Saccharomyces cerevisiae S288C: one gene and its partners. The gene in region 2 interacts genetically with the main gene of each other region. Each region holds a gene or a part of one and is shown on either strand. Other genes may lie near its edges. The genes, in order: TRM2, BUD8, RSR1 and GON7.

Evidence for each region.
Region 1: mutations in BUD8 (region 2) and TRM2 together harm fitness more than expected from each alone (negative genetic interaction), as found in Saccharomyces cerevisiae (2 studies listed by BioGRID).
Region 3: of BUD8 (region 2) and RSR1, a mutation in one rescues a mutant of the other (synthetic rescue), as found in Saccharomyces cerevisiae (one study listed by BioGRID).
Region 4: of BUD8 (region 2) and GON7, changing one suppresses a phenotype caused by changing the other (phenotypic suppression), as found in Saccharomyces cerevisiae (one study listed by BioGRID).

The regions. Positions count from the first base shown.
Region 1 is NC_001143.9:547,738-552,548, reverse strand, and holds TRM2 (tRNA (uracil(54)-C(5))-methyltransferase), read right to left. Parts: upstream 3,102-4,811; coding exon 1,182-3,101; downstream 1-1,181. Other genes in the region: 40S ribosomal protein eS21 RPS21A, read right to left, coding at 307-546, 869-892; Rho family GTPase RHO4, read right to left, coding at 3,458-4,333; DYN1 (dynein heavy chain), read left to right, coding at 4,624-4,811. UniProt on the Saccharomyces cerevisiae protein: Catalyzes the formation of 5-methyl-uridine at position 54 (m5U54) in all tRNA. May also have a role in tRNA stabilization or maturation.
Region 2 is NC_001144.5:832,101-836,935, reverse strand, and holds BUD8 (Bud8p), read right to left. Parts: upstream 2,585-4,835; coding exon 773-2,584; downstream 1-772. Other genes in the region: sedoheptulose-7-phosphate:D-glyceraldehyde-3-phosphate transaldolase TAL1, read left to right, coding at 1-586; LUG1 (Lug1p), read right to left, coding at 3,397-4,835. UniProt on the Saccharomyces cerevisiae protein: Involved in positioning the distal bud pole signal.
Region 3 is NC_001139.9:793,690-797,551, forward strand, and holds RSR1 (Ras family GTPase RSR1), read right to left. Parts: upstream 1,804-3,862; coding exon 985-1,803; downstream 1-984. Other genes in the region: YGR153W (uncharacterized protein), read left to right, coding at 2,403-3,056; GTO1 (omega-class glutathione transferase), read right to left, coding at 3,109-3,862. UniProt on the Saccharomyces cerevisiae protein: Ras-related protein which binds GDP/GTP and possesses intrinsic GTPase activity. Involved in development of cell polarity during the cell division cycle, and essential for bud emergence.
Region 4 is NC_001142.9:81,112-84,319, reverse strand, and holds GON7 (chromatin DNA-binding EKC/KEOPS complex subunit GON7), read right to left. Parts: upstream 873-3,208; coding exon 501-872; downstream 1-500. Other genes in the region: MNN11 (alpha-1,6-mannosyltransferase), read right to left, coding at 1-252; ATG36 (Atg36p), read left to right, coding at 1,344-2,225; alpha-1,2-mannosyltransferase MNN5, read right to left, coding at 2,405-3,208. UniProt on the Saccharomyces cerevisiae protein: Component of the EKC/KEOPS complex that is required for the formation of a threonylcarbamoyl group on adenosine at position 37 (t(6)A37) in tRNAs that read codons beginning with adenine.

The DNA of each region.
Region 1 (4,811 bases), on a different chromosome or scaffold from region 2:
AGTAGTAATATTTACGGGGTTTTGGGGTCTTTTTTTTGCTCGGGGGTTTCTCAGGGACTCCACACTGCAAAACTTTAAACAGAATAGCCAAGAATACAATGACTCTTCAAATTAAACAGGTTCCGGTTGTCTAAAAATACAATATATTATTATAACCTAAATACCTATAGAGTACCTAAAACGCTTCATCGAAAATCCGACGAATTAGAACATATGGTGAAAAGTTGGTAATGAAGAGAAAAATCGTCAGTTACCTATTAGTCTGAACGATATGAAGCTTAAATCGAATCCTCTTTTTCTTTTCTCTTAACGTGAGTAAGACCAGACGTTCTTTAACAAACCATCGTTTTGAGCCAAACGGTTCAAAGAATCATCAGATTCACCTCTGGATCTAACGTAACCGGACAAAGCGTAGGTAACGTACTCACCTGGGATAGCACGTCCTTCTTCATCAACCTTAGCGACGTTGATTTGAACAGATGCGTGGTCATCAGCCTTGATGATTCTGTTGGTAGCAGAACATTTTCTTGGAACGTAAAGTTCGACCTGATGTAAAACAAATCTTTGTTAGTTATGCTAGTTTAAAAAACACATTGTTGGTGGTGGTGAGTGATGATTTAATACATGTGAAGAAAGTAATCGAAGAATTTTGTCAGAAATTGCTCAACTTTTGTAGGCTGCATTCAGAGCTGGTCTATGGCACCTTCGGAGTTGCTTATTATCGGTAACCATAAGTATGTTTTCCATACATTGCGGATGCCTACGTTTTGTTTGCATTATGATATCTTTCTTACATTTATTTAAACAGCCATGCACTTTCCATTCATCCGTTAAAATATAAAAAATCTTATAGATTTCTCGAACATACTAATTGGCCCTTATCGTTTTCCATTTTGGTATGATGTTTCTATGGTTTGTATGTGGTTAATTTACGCCTGATCACCTTATATCTTCCGCTAAACTCTCTACTAAACATTAGAATAACGTATATGAAATTTTCAAAAAATCGTTGTGCATAATATCACTCTACACGTTACCTTTTTAGTGTAATTTTCGTTCATTTCGAATTGAAAAATGAATCTGAGATACATTTTCAATTTTCAAAATGTACGGATTTAAAAGTACAGGAAGACATTTACTCTAGAAAGATATACATAGTGATAGATATTTTATATGTGCAATTAGATTCTCTTCATTATACACACACTCTCAACGTGGTGCGTTTGTGGAAAGAAATCAAATCCTCTTATGCTTTCAATCTGGTGGGCGGAACCGTTTTCTGTTTCTTTGAGGAAGTACTCGACATCACGTGCCTGGGAATGGACATTACACGATATGTAAATAATCTTGGCTGGATTATATGCGGCTAATTGCTTTAGGAATAATTCGTCACAGCCCTTGCGTGGTGGATCCAAGATAACGGAAGTGTTTTCACTTGGAGTATCAATAGACTCAAAGAGTTTCTCAGCCTTTCCAACGATGAATCTACAGTTTTCAACACCATTTGCCTTTGCATTTTTTTCTGCAAAAGAGACACTGTCAGCGGAAATTTCTACACCAATCACTTTATCTACGCCCTTGGAGCTGCATATACTGAAAAGACCTGATCCACAATAAGCATCTACTAGAAACTTTGTTTTATTATCATCACCTTTAGCGGGAGCTTGCAAGTTATCACGGACATACTTGGTCACTATTGGCAGGATAGAGTTATTATTTTGAAAAAACTCACCCGCACTAAAATTAAAAGTATATCCATCAACATATTCAGTGACAATTTGTCTAGGATTGGTAACGCAAGTTTTAGCCAGCCTGACATTGTTCTTTTTGTCTTCGACTTCGACATAACTTATATCACCATTTTCATCCCTAGAGGCTTCTTCGGTTAACTGTTCTAAAGTTGGTTTGGAAGGGTCTAAAATAGTGGTATTCTCTCTCAGTAAAATAGTCGCGCCTTTTTTGTAGTTTTTAAACTCTTGCTCAAACTTTCTTCTTTCATTAGTCAATCCTTTGTTGAGAACTTCAGTTGCAAGCACACATTCATCGATATCTAATATCGAACCATGTCCGCCGATATCCAAAGTATCTTTTCTCCATTGAGGTCTACCCTTTTGACCAAATCCTAAAGGAGGCCTTACTGATAGTTCCTTTTGTTTTCTTTTTGGCATATCGAAATGAGGCGTAATTTTGGTCCTGTAGCCAAATTGTAAAGGGGAAGCTACGGTGGTGTCAAATGGGGGTAAAAGTTTTTCAGCAACTAACCTTGGTGCGAAGAACTTGTAGGCATTCATAATTGTTTTTCTTTTCAATTCTAGTTGGTCATCGTAAGTTAAGAACTCTAATTGACTTCCTGAAGATTTCCCGAAATATTTATCCCTAATTAAATCATCTCTTCTCATTGGAGATTTTTCCACTACGTCTAATAAATCACTCTCGACATAGTAAGGGTGGGTCTTAAAGACTTTGATATTAACTACATCACCGGGCAGGCCAAACGGTATGATAACAACTTGCTTCTTTTCTGTTTCAACAGGATTATCGATCAAAGCCAACCCGTTGCCATTGGAAGTAATTTCTAAGACCTTGACATTTTTTACCTCTCGGTGATATTGTAAGACGATAGGTCCATCTGTTGAGGACTTATCATTTAGAATTGAAGTAACATCGTTCAGAACCTGCTCCCTGGACAAATTTTGAGATTTTAACAAATCGTTCACTTCAAATTCTAGGACACCCATCGGAGAAGTTGTTTCAACCTTTTTGGCCTTGTACTTTCTCAACTTTGGCTTCTTAGTCCGGCGGTTACCAGAATCTGTCAAAGGAGACGAAAGCCTTTTGTTGTCAACGGTATGTTTCATTGTTGGTGGTACCATTTCAGTACTTCCAGTCATGGTGCTGATTAGTTTATAATTATGCTTCTTGACAAAGTTTCTGCAAGCGAAAAACCTAGCTTTAAATATAGACTTCTGTACGGTCCAAAAGCAACGCATGCATGTGATAATACTCCAGCGTTTTATCGATGAGATGAGATGAGCTTTATATTTAACCTTATTGTCTGAATTTTCGAAGAAAAAAAAAGAAAATTCAAACTGTTCGTACATAATGACTTTGTCCTAAACTATTCCTCTAAAATAAAATGACAGATTTGTACTTTTATGTCACAGAAGCTTTTATTAAGTATTTAATGTAATTAGGCTAGATTAATATCGAATTAGTACTTTATGACATCGAATTAAAATGAATTATTATGATAAAATTGGGATAAATTCGAATATATTGGAGCGGTATATCACACCAGATTCAGAAAAATGGAAGTTAAATTAAATCAGGTTCTAATTGTTTCGTCTTGATAAATAAGATAGCGGAAGATAGTAAAATGTGTGTATTTTTTCTTGCCACTTTTCAAATGTTGTAAGTGCGTACAGAATGGGCAACAGAATAATCTTCATCATTATTCTTACATTATAATACACTTGTTTTTTCTTAATCTTTTCGTTCCGGAAATAGAGACGCTGGTATCTCCAGTAGAAGAATCGATATCTGATCTGGTGGTATTTCTTTTAAAGGGATTTTTGATTGTATGTGTAGGCTCTCTGGGAGCATATAATGAATCGGAAAGTAACGTGTGTATGGCAGTTTCAAATACTTCATCGATATTTTCTTTCAATCGTGCTGAGCATTGAATATGTGCAAATGCCCCCAGACGCTTGGCCAAGGATTCTGCTGAACTTGGTTCCACCAGATCTGAAAGGTTATCAGCTTCATATAGATCTGATTTAAGGCCGACTAGCATGATTGGAGTGGAAGGACAAAAATGCTTAACCTCTGGGAACCAGAGATCTTCCACATTTTTAAGCGATGTCTTACTACCAACAGAATAGCACACCATCAGCACATCTGCATTCGTATATGAAAGCGGTCTAAGTCTACTATACTCTTCTTGGCCGGCAGTGTCCCATAATGCCAATTCTATAATTTGACCGTTGGGTCCTTCTATGTTTGTGACATAATTTTCGAAAATAGTAGGAATATAATCAGTCGGAAATGTTCCTTGGACATAAGATATCAGCAGGCACGTCTTCCCTACAGCGCCATCTCCCACAACAACAATCTTTAGGTGATAATCTGGCAGTTTGTTTGTACGTTTCATCTGCTCATAACTAGGAATGGTAGAAAGGCTTCTAGCGAATGGAGTAGGCAATCTGGGAAGATTCTTTTCATCTAAAGTGCCAGGTGATTCAGGAAGATTGCTACTTGAGGGCGATCCCTGCGAAACTATGTTACTTTCGTTCCCACAATTGCCACCTTTTCGCTTAAATAATAGTGTATTCATGAAAAAGCGTTACTATTGGAGATTTTTGGACCTATTTGACTTAAGTTTGCTGTAACTTTTGAGGGATGCTTATCATGTCTTTTGTCGTCTTAACGTAAGGCTATAACTACTTAATCAGATCATCCCGAATTGATGCGCGGAAGGTCGCATTGTACGGATTCTAATAAATAAGCTAATGAAAGGTAAACAAACATTACATATAAAAATTAACAGAAAGCATAGAACATAGAAGGGCAATAATACTCGTTCAGAGCTTAAATTGGAAAGTACGTCAAAACGTTTTTTAGGCAATGTGCAAGAATGAGGCAAGACTTGCTAATGAGCTGATAGAATTTGTTGCAGCTACTGTAACGGGTATAAAGAATTCTCCCAAAGAGAATGAGCAAGCATTCATTGATTATCTACATTGTCAATACCTTGAACGGTTTCAATTTTTTTTGGGATTATTGGATGGGAGAGAGTTCGACACGTTGTTTGT
Region 2 (4,835 bases):
CCTTATTAAAATTGCTTCCACTTGGGAAGGTATTCAAGCTGCCAAAGAATTGGAAGAAAAGGACGGTATCCACTGTAATTTGACTCTATTATTCTCCTTCGTTCAAGCAGTTGCCTGTGCCGAGGCCCAAGTTACTTTGATTTCCCCATTTGTTGGTAGAATTCTAGACTGGTACAAATCCAGCACTGGTAAAGATTACAAGGGTGAAGCCGACCCAGGTGTTATTTCCGTCAAGAAAATCTACAACTACTACAAGAAGTACGGTTACAAGACTATTGTTATGGGTGCTTCTTTCAGAAGCACTGACGAAATCAAAAACTTGGCTGGTGTTGACTATCTAACAATTTCTCCAGCTTTATTGGACAAGTTGATGAACAGTACTGAACCTTTCCCAAGAGTTTTGGACCCTGTCTCCGCTAAGAAGGAAGCCGGCGACAAGATTTCTTACATCAGCGACGAATCTAAATTCAGATTCGACTTGAATGAAGACGCTATGGCCACTGAAAAATTGTCCGAAGGTATCAGAAAATTCTCTGCCGATATTGTTACTCTATTCGACTTGATTGAAAAGAAAGTTACCGCTTAAGGAAGTATCTCGGAAATATTAATTTAGGCCATGTCCTTATGCACGTTTCTTTTGATACTTACGGGTACATGTACACAAGTATATCTATATATATAAATTAATGAAAATCCCCTATTTATATATATGACTTTAACGAGACAGAACAGTTTTTTATTTTTTATCCTATTTGATGAATGATACAGTTTCTTATTCACGTGTTATACCCACACCAAATCCAATAGCAATACCGGCCATCACAATCACTGTTTCGGCAGCCCCTAAGATCAGACAAAACATCCGGAACCACCTTAAATCAACGTCCCATATGAATCCTTGCAGCAAAGCCGCTCGGTGTTCTTTATTCATAAGCAACCTCATTAATCTATAGTCTGAAACTAATTTCCTTCTTGAGCTGCAGCCAATAATAAAAAATAATGGCGGCACTATACTACAACATAGGAGGATCACAATGATGTTTTCGATGCTGTAAACGTCCCTGAATCCATTTTGACCTGAATCAAACGAATGAATGGAAGCGGTATCGATATGTTGAATTGGCATTCTCGCCTCCAGGTCTATATTTTCAGCATCGTGCCTGTCTTCTTTCCTATTATCAGTTTTTTCTTGTTGCTTTCGTCGTATGCTTCGAGCTGGCTTTTCTATAATGGAGTTCTGTCCCGTGTCTGACTCCGAGCTTTGAGATTTAATTGGAGCTAGCACGAGGGGTTGTCCATGTTCTGGCAACGTTTTATTTTTCTTCTTGTTCATCTTGGTCAATGGAGAGGGCGTCTTGTGTCCTTCATAGCGTGAAAATGGATCAGACTTAGTTGAATTTCCAGATTCTAAGCGTAAAGGTGTCTTCGTCCATTTGCTTGGTCCGGACACACTTCTTAATACGGGAATTGAAGGTAGTCCAATTGGTGGACCTTCTTCTTCTAGGGATGTGGAGGGCTTGCGCGTAGATTTTGAACTGAATTTTTCTTCATTATTATGCCCTATATGGTCTTTAGGAGAACTTTCGTTACTACTGTCACTATTGTGTGAAGGAATCAATATGTTACCAATTAACGATGGACTCTGAGGAATTTTAATCTTCCTTGCCGACGTACCTGGCGCACCTGGCGAATGCGAATCATCACTTGTCGACGACTTTATTGATCCAGCCTTCTCTGGAATTTTTAGTTTGTGCGGTATAAATTTTGATTCATTCACAGGTTCGTATTGATCTATGACTTCATCCTCGGTCTCGCCTTCACCTTTACTGCCAGTTGAGCTTATAAAATTAACATTAGAAGTTTTATTCTTCGTTAGCCTCACTGCCTCTTCAACATCTGGTTCTAAGGTGTCATCGTAATGGTATGAGAAAAATGAGTGTTCCGTTGTTTCATTAGGTTCAATTGAGGTAGGACGTGGAGGTGTTCCATTCTTTGACTCGTCGTTCCCGCGATTCGCCAAAGATGAGTATAATGAAGATACGACCCTACTATGCTCTTGCTCTATAGGGCTTCCTTCAACATCTTCTCCCATAAGAACTGAAGTTGATATTGTCAGTGCGCAACTTAATCTCTGCGAAGATGGTGAATTCACTGCTCTTTCTGGCCGTACCGCCGCGTTTTGTGAAGGAGTTACGTTCCTTAACGGTACGGTATCCTCGTTGTCTCGTCGAAGTGAAGTTGGCCTTACAGTAGTGTTGCTTGGTATATTATTATCTTGGGTATCGTGAAATTGTGTAATAGAGGACGAGTTGCTACTAGAGCTAGAGCTTGTGGATGCTCCCATTATTTGAGAAAACCTTTCATTGTTGATGTATACAGCAAATCCTTGACCTCTACTTGTGGTTTCATAGGCAACAGTAGCCATCTCTGTCTCCGCATCGGGGTTCCCATGTGCTCCATTAAGATTTTCAAAAAACAAGGATGTTCTTAGTTGTAGTCTGGATGATACAGAGGAAGTACCACTATATGAAGTTGATGCTGTCGTTTCAGAAGAGTCCAAATTATCTTCGTCTGATTGTATCATACTTCATGTAGAATCGAAAAAATTCTCAAGTAGAAAGAGGATATTGGGTATTGTCAAAAATGCTTCGATTCAAGAAAGAAACTCCTAGAGTTAAGAGAAAGTTATAGTCTAAATTGAATTAAAATAAGCGAATGTAATTGGATTTATTATCTTATCAAAAGAATGAAAAGTATACCGGTAATCGCCTAGAAATAAAAATCGTCAATAATGAATATTAAAAAAGCAATTGAATGGTCTTTCTTTTGTTAACTAGAAGTTCGAACAAAACAGAGGTCGCGACTGGAAAGCTTCCAGTTGTTTTTGGATATCTTTATTATTTTCCTTCCTAAACCAATTGCCTGTTCTTAGTATGGGGTATTGATAATTGATGGAAGGTGATTGAAAATTATAATGAATTTTGCAGGTATCGCTTACGCGCAATAAAAAAACACACCACAATGAACTTAATCCTACTCTTATTAGCGTCAGGACTATCCGGTTTGGCCTCTCTAGTAAGCGGATGAGTAAATCATTTTCTAATTGTTTTTTTATTCTCTCTTTTGGATCATTTTTCGCAATGTTTACCTTTTTCGGAGGAGAGAGGCTTCCCTTATGAAAAAAAAAAAAATGGAAAACTTAAAAATCACATTGCGTTTCGAGGCATTCTTCAATCAGTTGATAGGGGAAGGGAATTTGCTGCAATCATTAAATTCGTTTCCGAAAAGTCTGGCTAAATGGTAGACGATGTATGCAATATTTTACCATATATAGAAATCATATACAAGACACAAGACGAGAGCGGAGGAAGGGTAAGGAAGTAAAGAGAAAAATATCTATGCTTTTAAACTGTAGTATCTATACATTCCACGCTCAATGCACCCAAAAACTTGATATTCGTTGACTATTTCAAAATGTAATCTATATCTTTGAGTCGTCAGAGGATCCTTTGGATCATAGACAAATTCATCGGGATGCGTGAAATAATAATTCTTACGCTTGTGAAGGTGGTTGAAGTGGGAGAAGGATAGAAACGATGCCGAGGACGAGTGTTCACCAGTTAAACTTGGTCTTGTTTTATTTCCTGAACGTGAGCGCGAACTTTCAAATAAGTGAAGTTGGGACCTTCTCCGTTGCAAGTCGGGATCGTGCAAATATTCGTCGTCAGTCTCTTCAAAGTTTGCGATTGTTCTTAGTTCCTGCTGCTCATCAGCTAACTCCTGAATTCTTTGTTCTTGCAATGATAGCTCACGTAAATCATGGACCGACCTATCCCAGTACAAACCATCCCTGATTTGAGATGCAGGAGAAACATTGATAGCAAAGGGGTTGGCAGAGGAAGAACCATTGTTGCTTCTTAAAGTGGGTCTGCTCAACAGAGAATTCCTTCTTGGGATGGCATTCACGTGATTTTGGCTATCTTCCACATGACTGTTGTTGTCGTCCTCATTATGGATGATTCTCCACCCACCACGAGGTAATGTTGGGGTAATTATTGGTAGTGGAGTATCACCAAGGCTGATCGCACCTTTTCTATTTAAGAATTGAGAAACTGGTGGCTTTAAATCTCTGTAACATAGTTTACGTCTAATACCACTTTGAGGAACTAGACCACATCCAAGCATGATTTTACTTTGGGCAAACTTTAGGAAATCCGGCTGGTTTATAATTTCTATGATTTTGTGACCCTCAAAATCATACCTAGTTAAATTTGACTTAGAATCCAAGTCATCACGATTCAGGAAAGGATCAGTCTTATATAACCAATATCTCCTACCATAAGAAGAATCAATGTAACATTTCCACTTTACTTGTTCTGCTGTTGAAATATCTTTAATTACCGAATTTGGGTTTTTATATCTGTATGCAATAATTTCATGTCTATCATTTAGTTTTTCAATCTGTTGCCACGAGTCAAAGGAAACTTCTAACGCGACTAAACTTGGAGAACAAGTGTACAATAATGAGTCCTGAATAGTCCATTTATTCACATAAGAGTTACCAGAAATATTCAAAAACTTCAATTTTTGAGCACAATTAGGATGGTCTTGATCAATTGGTGTCAAAAATTCTACGAGCGTAGATATCGGGATACTATTACCTTTTATACTCAAACTTTTTAACTTCGGAAAATTCCACTTTATGAACTGTAAGCTATCGCGGCATTGGTAATAATAAGTGGATTCGCTAATAGGGTCCTCGCCGAAAGAAGGTGCAACATGAAGCGGTAAACCGCCGATATTTAGATATTGCAAAGTTTTGTTATGGCCATGTT
Region 3 (3,862 bases), on a different chromosome or scaffold from region 2:
CGAGAAAGATAATATAAGAAGCGCCTGAGAGTCAGTGGATCGATTATCGAAAATAGAATAGAGACGTTCACGGAGACCCACTGAATGTTTCGTATTAAAGGAGGGATGACTACTAAACCATTTTCACCGCTACTGGTGGCCATTTTGTATTCTTCCATTTACAAGAATTGCTCCCGACTTTTGTTCCATCAGTGGACGATAGACCATTGTCAAACACAGTAATTCTATTTTATTCTTGAGATGAGATGCCGCAATATGACCTGATATGAATCACCCTAAATGTCCGATCTAAACAAATAAAAGGCGTGCGAAACAGCCTCACGACGAGATATGAAGTCGAAAACATCGGCCTAATTTCTGTGCTTTTTAGAAGACTACTCAGATTTTCAATATCAATACAGTGAGTTAGATCTCAGGTTGAGAAGAAACACTTTGATTTTACTAGATAGGAAAGAAAAATGGACTAATTAATCAATCATTTTGTCATCGTTGAAACTTGATAACGCACGCTAAACGATAACGACTATGTTGGAGGGAAAACATTAACGATTACTCTTTTAAGTAATTGCGAAGTATATCTGAGACTAAAGACCCTCTGAATTAATTATATCAATCAACATAAACTATAAGAAACTACAGTGTGAGCTTTAGTTACGAGAGTGTGGATCTGTTCATTTAATATTTTTTATACGTAACGCAGCATCTACCGTAAAATCCCATAGATTGCGGGCACATGGCGCAGTTGGTAGCGCGCTTCCCTTGCAAGGAAGAGGTCATCGGTTCGATTCCGGTTGCGTCCATATTTTTAACATTTCATTTTTTTTGGGTTTAAATTTATTTTCAAACATTATTAATTGATTTCTTTAAAAACTTATACAACGTATGCTAATACTTTAAACTAAACCTTTTAGAACTATAATAAAACTATTTCAAGTAAAGTCTTTTTATCTGATATCTTGATTCATTTATAATAAAATTAAGTGACTATAGAATAGTGCAAGTGGAAGCGTTTTTCTTCTTTTTCTTTTGTTGTGAAGTAGCGCTAATTCCTGTCCTGTTGCTAGAACCAGATTTCGGAACGGCATGTGACGGTTTGTGCTTTTCATTAACCGGAGTAGATTGTTTAACTTTAGCTTGTCCTTGTGAAGATTTGTTATATAAACCTTTTGATGATTGCTTATTGTTTGATTGTTTCGTATCCTGTTTCGCAGAACTAGGGAGCCTGGTTGATGGAGACTCGATTTTGCTAAATTGTTGACTTTGATTTCTTGCGTCTTTAACTGCAACACTTTCCATTTCATTCCGAATGATTTGCCTAACTAAATCAACGAACACTTCATCCACATTGCTCCTCAACAAAGCGCTTGTTTCATAAAAGGGAACTCTACCCCATTTACTGCTTACCTCTATACCTTCTTCCACACTTATTACCCTTTCATTGATTAGATCAGCCTTGTTACCTATTAGAACCATTGGAACGCGATCGGAATCTTTGATCCTAAGGACCTGTTCTCTTAGCTCCATTAATTCTTCCAAAGATTGCCGATCTGTTACTGAATATACCAACAGGAACCCCATTCCTGACTTTATGTATAATTCTCTCATTGCAGTAAATTGTGCTATACCCGCTGTATCTAAAATTTCCAGGTCGAATACCTTGTTATCGATCTCGATGGTTTTCCTGTAAGAATCTTCGATCGTTGGATCATACGTATCCAAATAAACTCCCTGTACAAACTGCACGGTTAAGCAGGATTTACCGACACCACCAGCACCCAATACTACTAATTTATAGTCTCTCATTAGTCCTAATGTTTCCTAGCCAAATATTTCTAAGCGATGATAGAAGCCAAAATATTAGAACGTTGTATGTAAATGTTCTATATCGTTACTAAATAATAGTATTATTGTTCAGTGGAGAGGATGAAATTTCAAAAACTTCTTGGCGTAGTTAAGAACGAACGCAATGGTTCTTTTTTTCGAGATCGAGCTCTACTTTACTTTTTTCTTTTTCTGTCCTTCTCTCTTTTCTTTTTAACCTTTTTCGACGATATTTCGCGTTTGAGAATGTCGAGGATGAATGCGCTTTGACGCGAATTAGTTGTGAGGCTGACGTTGTGATAAAAAGGCGATGATTCTTGGGAATATACAGTCTGTTTCCACTTGCTAGATAAAATGTATGATATTCCAAAAATGCCTTTCTCTATTGAACTGTATGACTGAGATACGCCTGCTTTTACCTTGTATATTATGAGTACTATTCGCCTTTTCCCATAAAGTTGTTTTTTTCTGGGGTTTATGTGTATCGTAAATGGTACAAAATAATAAAATTCTTATCTTGAAAATACTGTTTAATACTTTTCATCATTACTAAATAGGTTACGAAAAGAGGTCTTTGAGAAATGGGAAAGGCCTGTTTGAATAAAGAAGTCGGCACTTACGAATGTGAGGGGGAAAGAGATACCTACTCATTTTTTACCTCTCTCTCAGATATACAGGATTCAAGTAGTAACGAGGAACAATGCGGTGTAGGAAGTATATTGAGTGAAGATAGTTTCACGTTTGAAGGGTCCAACGTGAGCATACGGTTATTTTCCTTGGACTTAAATGCCTTGAATGAAAATGAGAATGGATCCAAGAATCCTGTGAAATTTACCATTCCGCCAAAAATAGAACAAAGAAAGGAAGCAAGACAAAGAGAGAAACGTTTAAGGAGGGTGGCAGTACTACCTGAGAATTCGAGAAACTACCTTGTTGAATCAAGTATGGATTCAAGTAGGGAATACAGTCAACCATTTTTTGACTGGAGGCATGAAATGGTAGAACATGGAGAGGAGAGTGTAAAACCGTGTGGTTGTCATAAATCGAGAAAAGCAAAATGCTTCAAAGAACTGGAGATGGAGAATATAGAAAAGGGCGATATAAAGAAGAGTCTCTTTTACAGAGACATAATTGAATGGTGCAGAGACTATGAAGTCAATAAAACTAGGGAAGTCTGTGTTCCGTCTATACACGAGTTTTACCTACATGGAAATGGAAGTGACAACCTCTTTTGAAGTATAGCCATGCATATAAATATATGTGTGTGTAAGAAAATATTAGAAGTTTTCATAATCTAGAAATGTCAGGCTTTGGGCCTAATGGCACTATACCAAACTGATTGATCTTGTTCCTACTTACTTCCATCCTGATGTAAAAGAGCTTAATATGATTAAAATCTGTAGTAAATCTAAACTCTGCGTAATTCCAGTATAGATTAATCAACCACAAATGAAGGTACGGGAAACCATCCCTTATAGTTTTCAAATTGCATTTGAAGTGCTGCACGTACACGACGTCAAATCTAATTATTGATGGATACAATCTGATATCCGCTTCAGTTAACCTCTGTCCTAAAACAAAATATTTAGCCAAGATTTTCTGTTTGTTACCACTGAATTGCTCCTCTAAGCGCTTATAATTTTCTTTTAGTACACATTCCATCTTCTGCAAGTTTTCAAACAGTGTTTTTACTTCAGTTTCGTAAATCTTTCCGTTTTCTGCTAATCCGACTTTATAGACACCAAGATTAATCTTCGGATGAACCCATTTGATGTTCTTATCAATCTCGTCTATTAAATCATGCGGAACTAGATCAATCACGTTCGTTTCTTCGCTTTGGATAAATTCATCAAACACGCCACTGTTCAAAATTCTTATGATATCGCCACTCTCATTGTTAACAATTTTCCTTGTTTTAGAATCCCACAGAACAGGCACAGTGAACTTTGTACCGGGGTACTTAGGATCATTTAAGTAGTACAACTCGCTTAACCTTGATATATTTTCCACCGGGTCGAAAGCGCCATCCACGAACAACCTT
Region 4 (3,208 bases), on a different chromosome or scaffold from region 2:
AATCAACCGGCTGGAGGCAGGAATTTCGTTAATATACAGCCCATGGGATGGAGAATATGATGCACCGGCGGAACGAGAAATTGGATAGAAGCGATTGGAGAAGAAATAGAGGATAAAAACAAAGGCCGTTATTATCGACAAAAATTTACAAGTTCCGTACTTGTTCTGCTTGAAACCAAGCCTGTTGAACCACTGCGAACCCACCGATCTTGAGGAGTACGTTTTGCCCTTCGTTCTTGGTTTGATTGCCATTTTAACGAGTCCTAACACAGCTAACACCAACAACAAACCGGCAGGATGATTCCAAGTTGAAAATTGGCTTTCTTCGCATCATTTAGGAGTCGATCAATCCTTCTTAACTGTATCCCATCGTGTGTTTATTATTTTTTTATATCAACTCTTCCTAGTTCAACAATTATCACTTGTAACGAAATATTTGTCATTTATCATTAGACTCTTTTCTGTTTGTATATACACTCTCTAGCGCTACATATCGTTGCCTAAACAGCATCTTCGTCACCGTCACCACCATCTAATAGCTGGTTAATCTCTTCCTGGATCCGCTTCTCGTCTGCGCCGGCTTTCTTCTTATTTTTTGCCAATTCCATTCTTCCTGTCAAAAACTCGTTAATATCGTCCTGTAGCCCCGTCAGCTGCGTGCGCAGCTGGCCTAAGTATGTCAGTTGTGAGCCATCTTTCGTGCGTTCCGGTTCTGAAGGTTTGTCTCTATCGATTTGGCCAGCGTTTAGCACATGGTCACTGGGCCCAGTTGTCCTTCCCTCTGTGGTCATGTATCGAGGGTCATCGCGTATTGGTGCAAAACTTTTTTCCACACCATCTGGTGCACTGTACTGTGCTACCGGTAGTTTCATTGAGATATTAGGATAAGGTTCCAGTGCACTATCGGCTGTATATATTTATTTAGCTCTAACTTGGTTCAGTAAAACTACCAATAATCAGATGGGATATTCTTAAGTTACTCATTACTAGAGATCCGGGTAAAATTTTTGACCTGACAAGGCCGTAACACTGGAAACAGGAAGATCAACAAAGAAACTAAATAAACACCTATCGTAGTTGCTAATATAGAGCTTTAAAAAATCACGCTCTGTGGTGCTAAGACACTATTCTATTGTGCCATCACTAGAGCATTCGCGTTAAGATACTTTCACCAAGATAAACATCGTTATACACGTACGATCTACGTGCGGCTGTAGCGTAATCCCGAATAATACAAATCTTTTGAAGGGATAGATTTCTATATACTTACGAATGTCGACAAGGAGCAAAGGTTGTATTCAGGGCTTAAAATACTAAAATTTGGTGGTCAGTACAGCTCATTAATGGCATCTGTGAACAATTACCAGGTTGATTGCGGGTCAAGGTCTGCTCGCATTCAACCCAGAATTAATAACGGCATTCACGATGAAGAATCGCTATTTGAAGTCCTGGAACTCTCAGAAGAGGAATTTGAGCTAGACTTCCATAGATTAAAGTCATTCAATGATGTAAGGGTTATCAATAACCCAGATTTATCTCCAGAATGTACAAATACTGCCATTAGTCGCGATGAGACACTGGAATCTGCAAGTAGTGCCTTCGAAGTTCCTTCTGACGAAATTGCTATACTGTCGATATCCAGTGACAGCAATAAAAATTCTCCGCCCTCAGAGCAGCCGGCGCCCGCTCTTCGTAACATTCGATCGTCTAGTAACTCTGACCGGATCGATGAGTGGTGTTTGGGCAGCCATTTATTTAATGAGCTGCATCAAAATGTCCCTCAATCAAGCGACGGTGTCAATCATGGATTTCCCGTTTATTCCTTTAAGGAAAGAGAACTTTATACCTCTGCGAAATTAAAGAAACTTACAAATGCCCAAAGAATTGCTGTGCAGAAACTATCAAGAGACTTGTATCCAATTCTAAGAACATGCTACCGCGAGAAAACTCGCCGGCAATTATTGACATACCATCATGAAAGAATATTTGACGATATACCATCTTTTTTCCCCCAGCGTGACTTTATTTTCAATTACTACTCGATGCCTCTTGAATTCGACAGGTTGTCAGACGTAGATATAGATTCGTCATCGCGGTCACGATTTACAGATGAGAGCACTGGAGAAACATTAAACCGTTCACCAAGCGCAGCGTCTTCGTCGTTGGAAAACACATCTTGGTTTGGCTGGACTTTACTTTCTAGGTTTTTGGACAGAGAATGGTAGAAGAAAGTTAGATACCCTCATTCTAAAACGTTGTCCGAACACCATCAGTTAGTTTTTTCTTGGTTTCATTTTTTCATTTTTTTCTAAGATGTATATATATCCGTGCACATATATGCTACATTATATTATACAAGGTCGGATGGCGAGTTATTATTAAATTATTATAGTTAATCACTTCATTAGTTTTTCTCCCCCATAGCTTCTTTGTGTGTGCTCTCCAGATAATTAACATGATTGGTCAAATACTCACACATTGCATCCCATTCTGGGGTATTAACTTTATCGGTAAAATACTTGAATTTAATAACTTGGCTTTTCGGAGTGGTACAGAAGGACCCCCTCATATCATTGAATAAAAACAATTCAAAATCCATTCCATAGCGATGCGGCTTCCTGAAGCCCCGTACTTGTTCGCCATTTGGACCGATAAATCTGTTTTCATGATAAAGAGTCCATGGATCTGCCTTGTAGAAACTGGCATGAATGAACATGATATCCAAATCAGAACCGTCATCATTAACCATCAAAGTTTTCAAGAAACCATTGTCCAAAGTATAATCTGGATCCAGTTTGGAAAATTCCTCAATGTTGGCTTTAACTTTCTGCTGCGCCTTTTGGTATTGCTTGTAATCTTGTTCAAAATCATGCTGGAGCAAGGCGAGACCCTTGTAATCATCTTTTTGATAGAAGAAACCATCAAATTCAAAGTTAGTCCTCACTTGATAGTATGGCATATTCAAGGCATGGGCAGCAGCGACGAAAGTGTCTTTGTCACCTTCACCGGCAGTGCCTTGAGAAATCATCTTATAATACCAGGTAGGCCCATAAACATTATAGTATAGCGCCAGTAATAGAGTGTTGAAATGGCGAATCTTATCAATCACCATCTGGCCTGATTCAGAGCTCAAGTCTGGCATCGTGCCGTCCAGATCATGTAAGGGAACATGTTTCAGGAAATGCTCCTGTCTCTCCTTTGGAGTGTA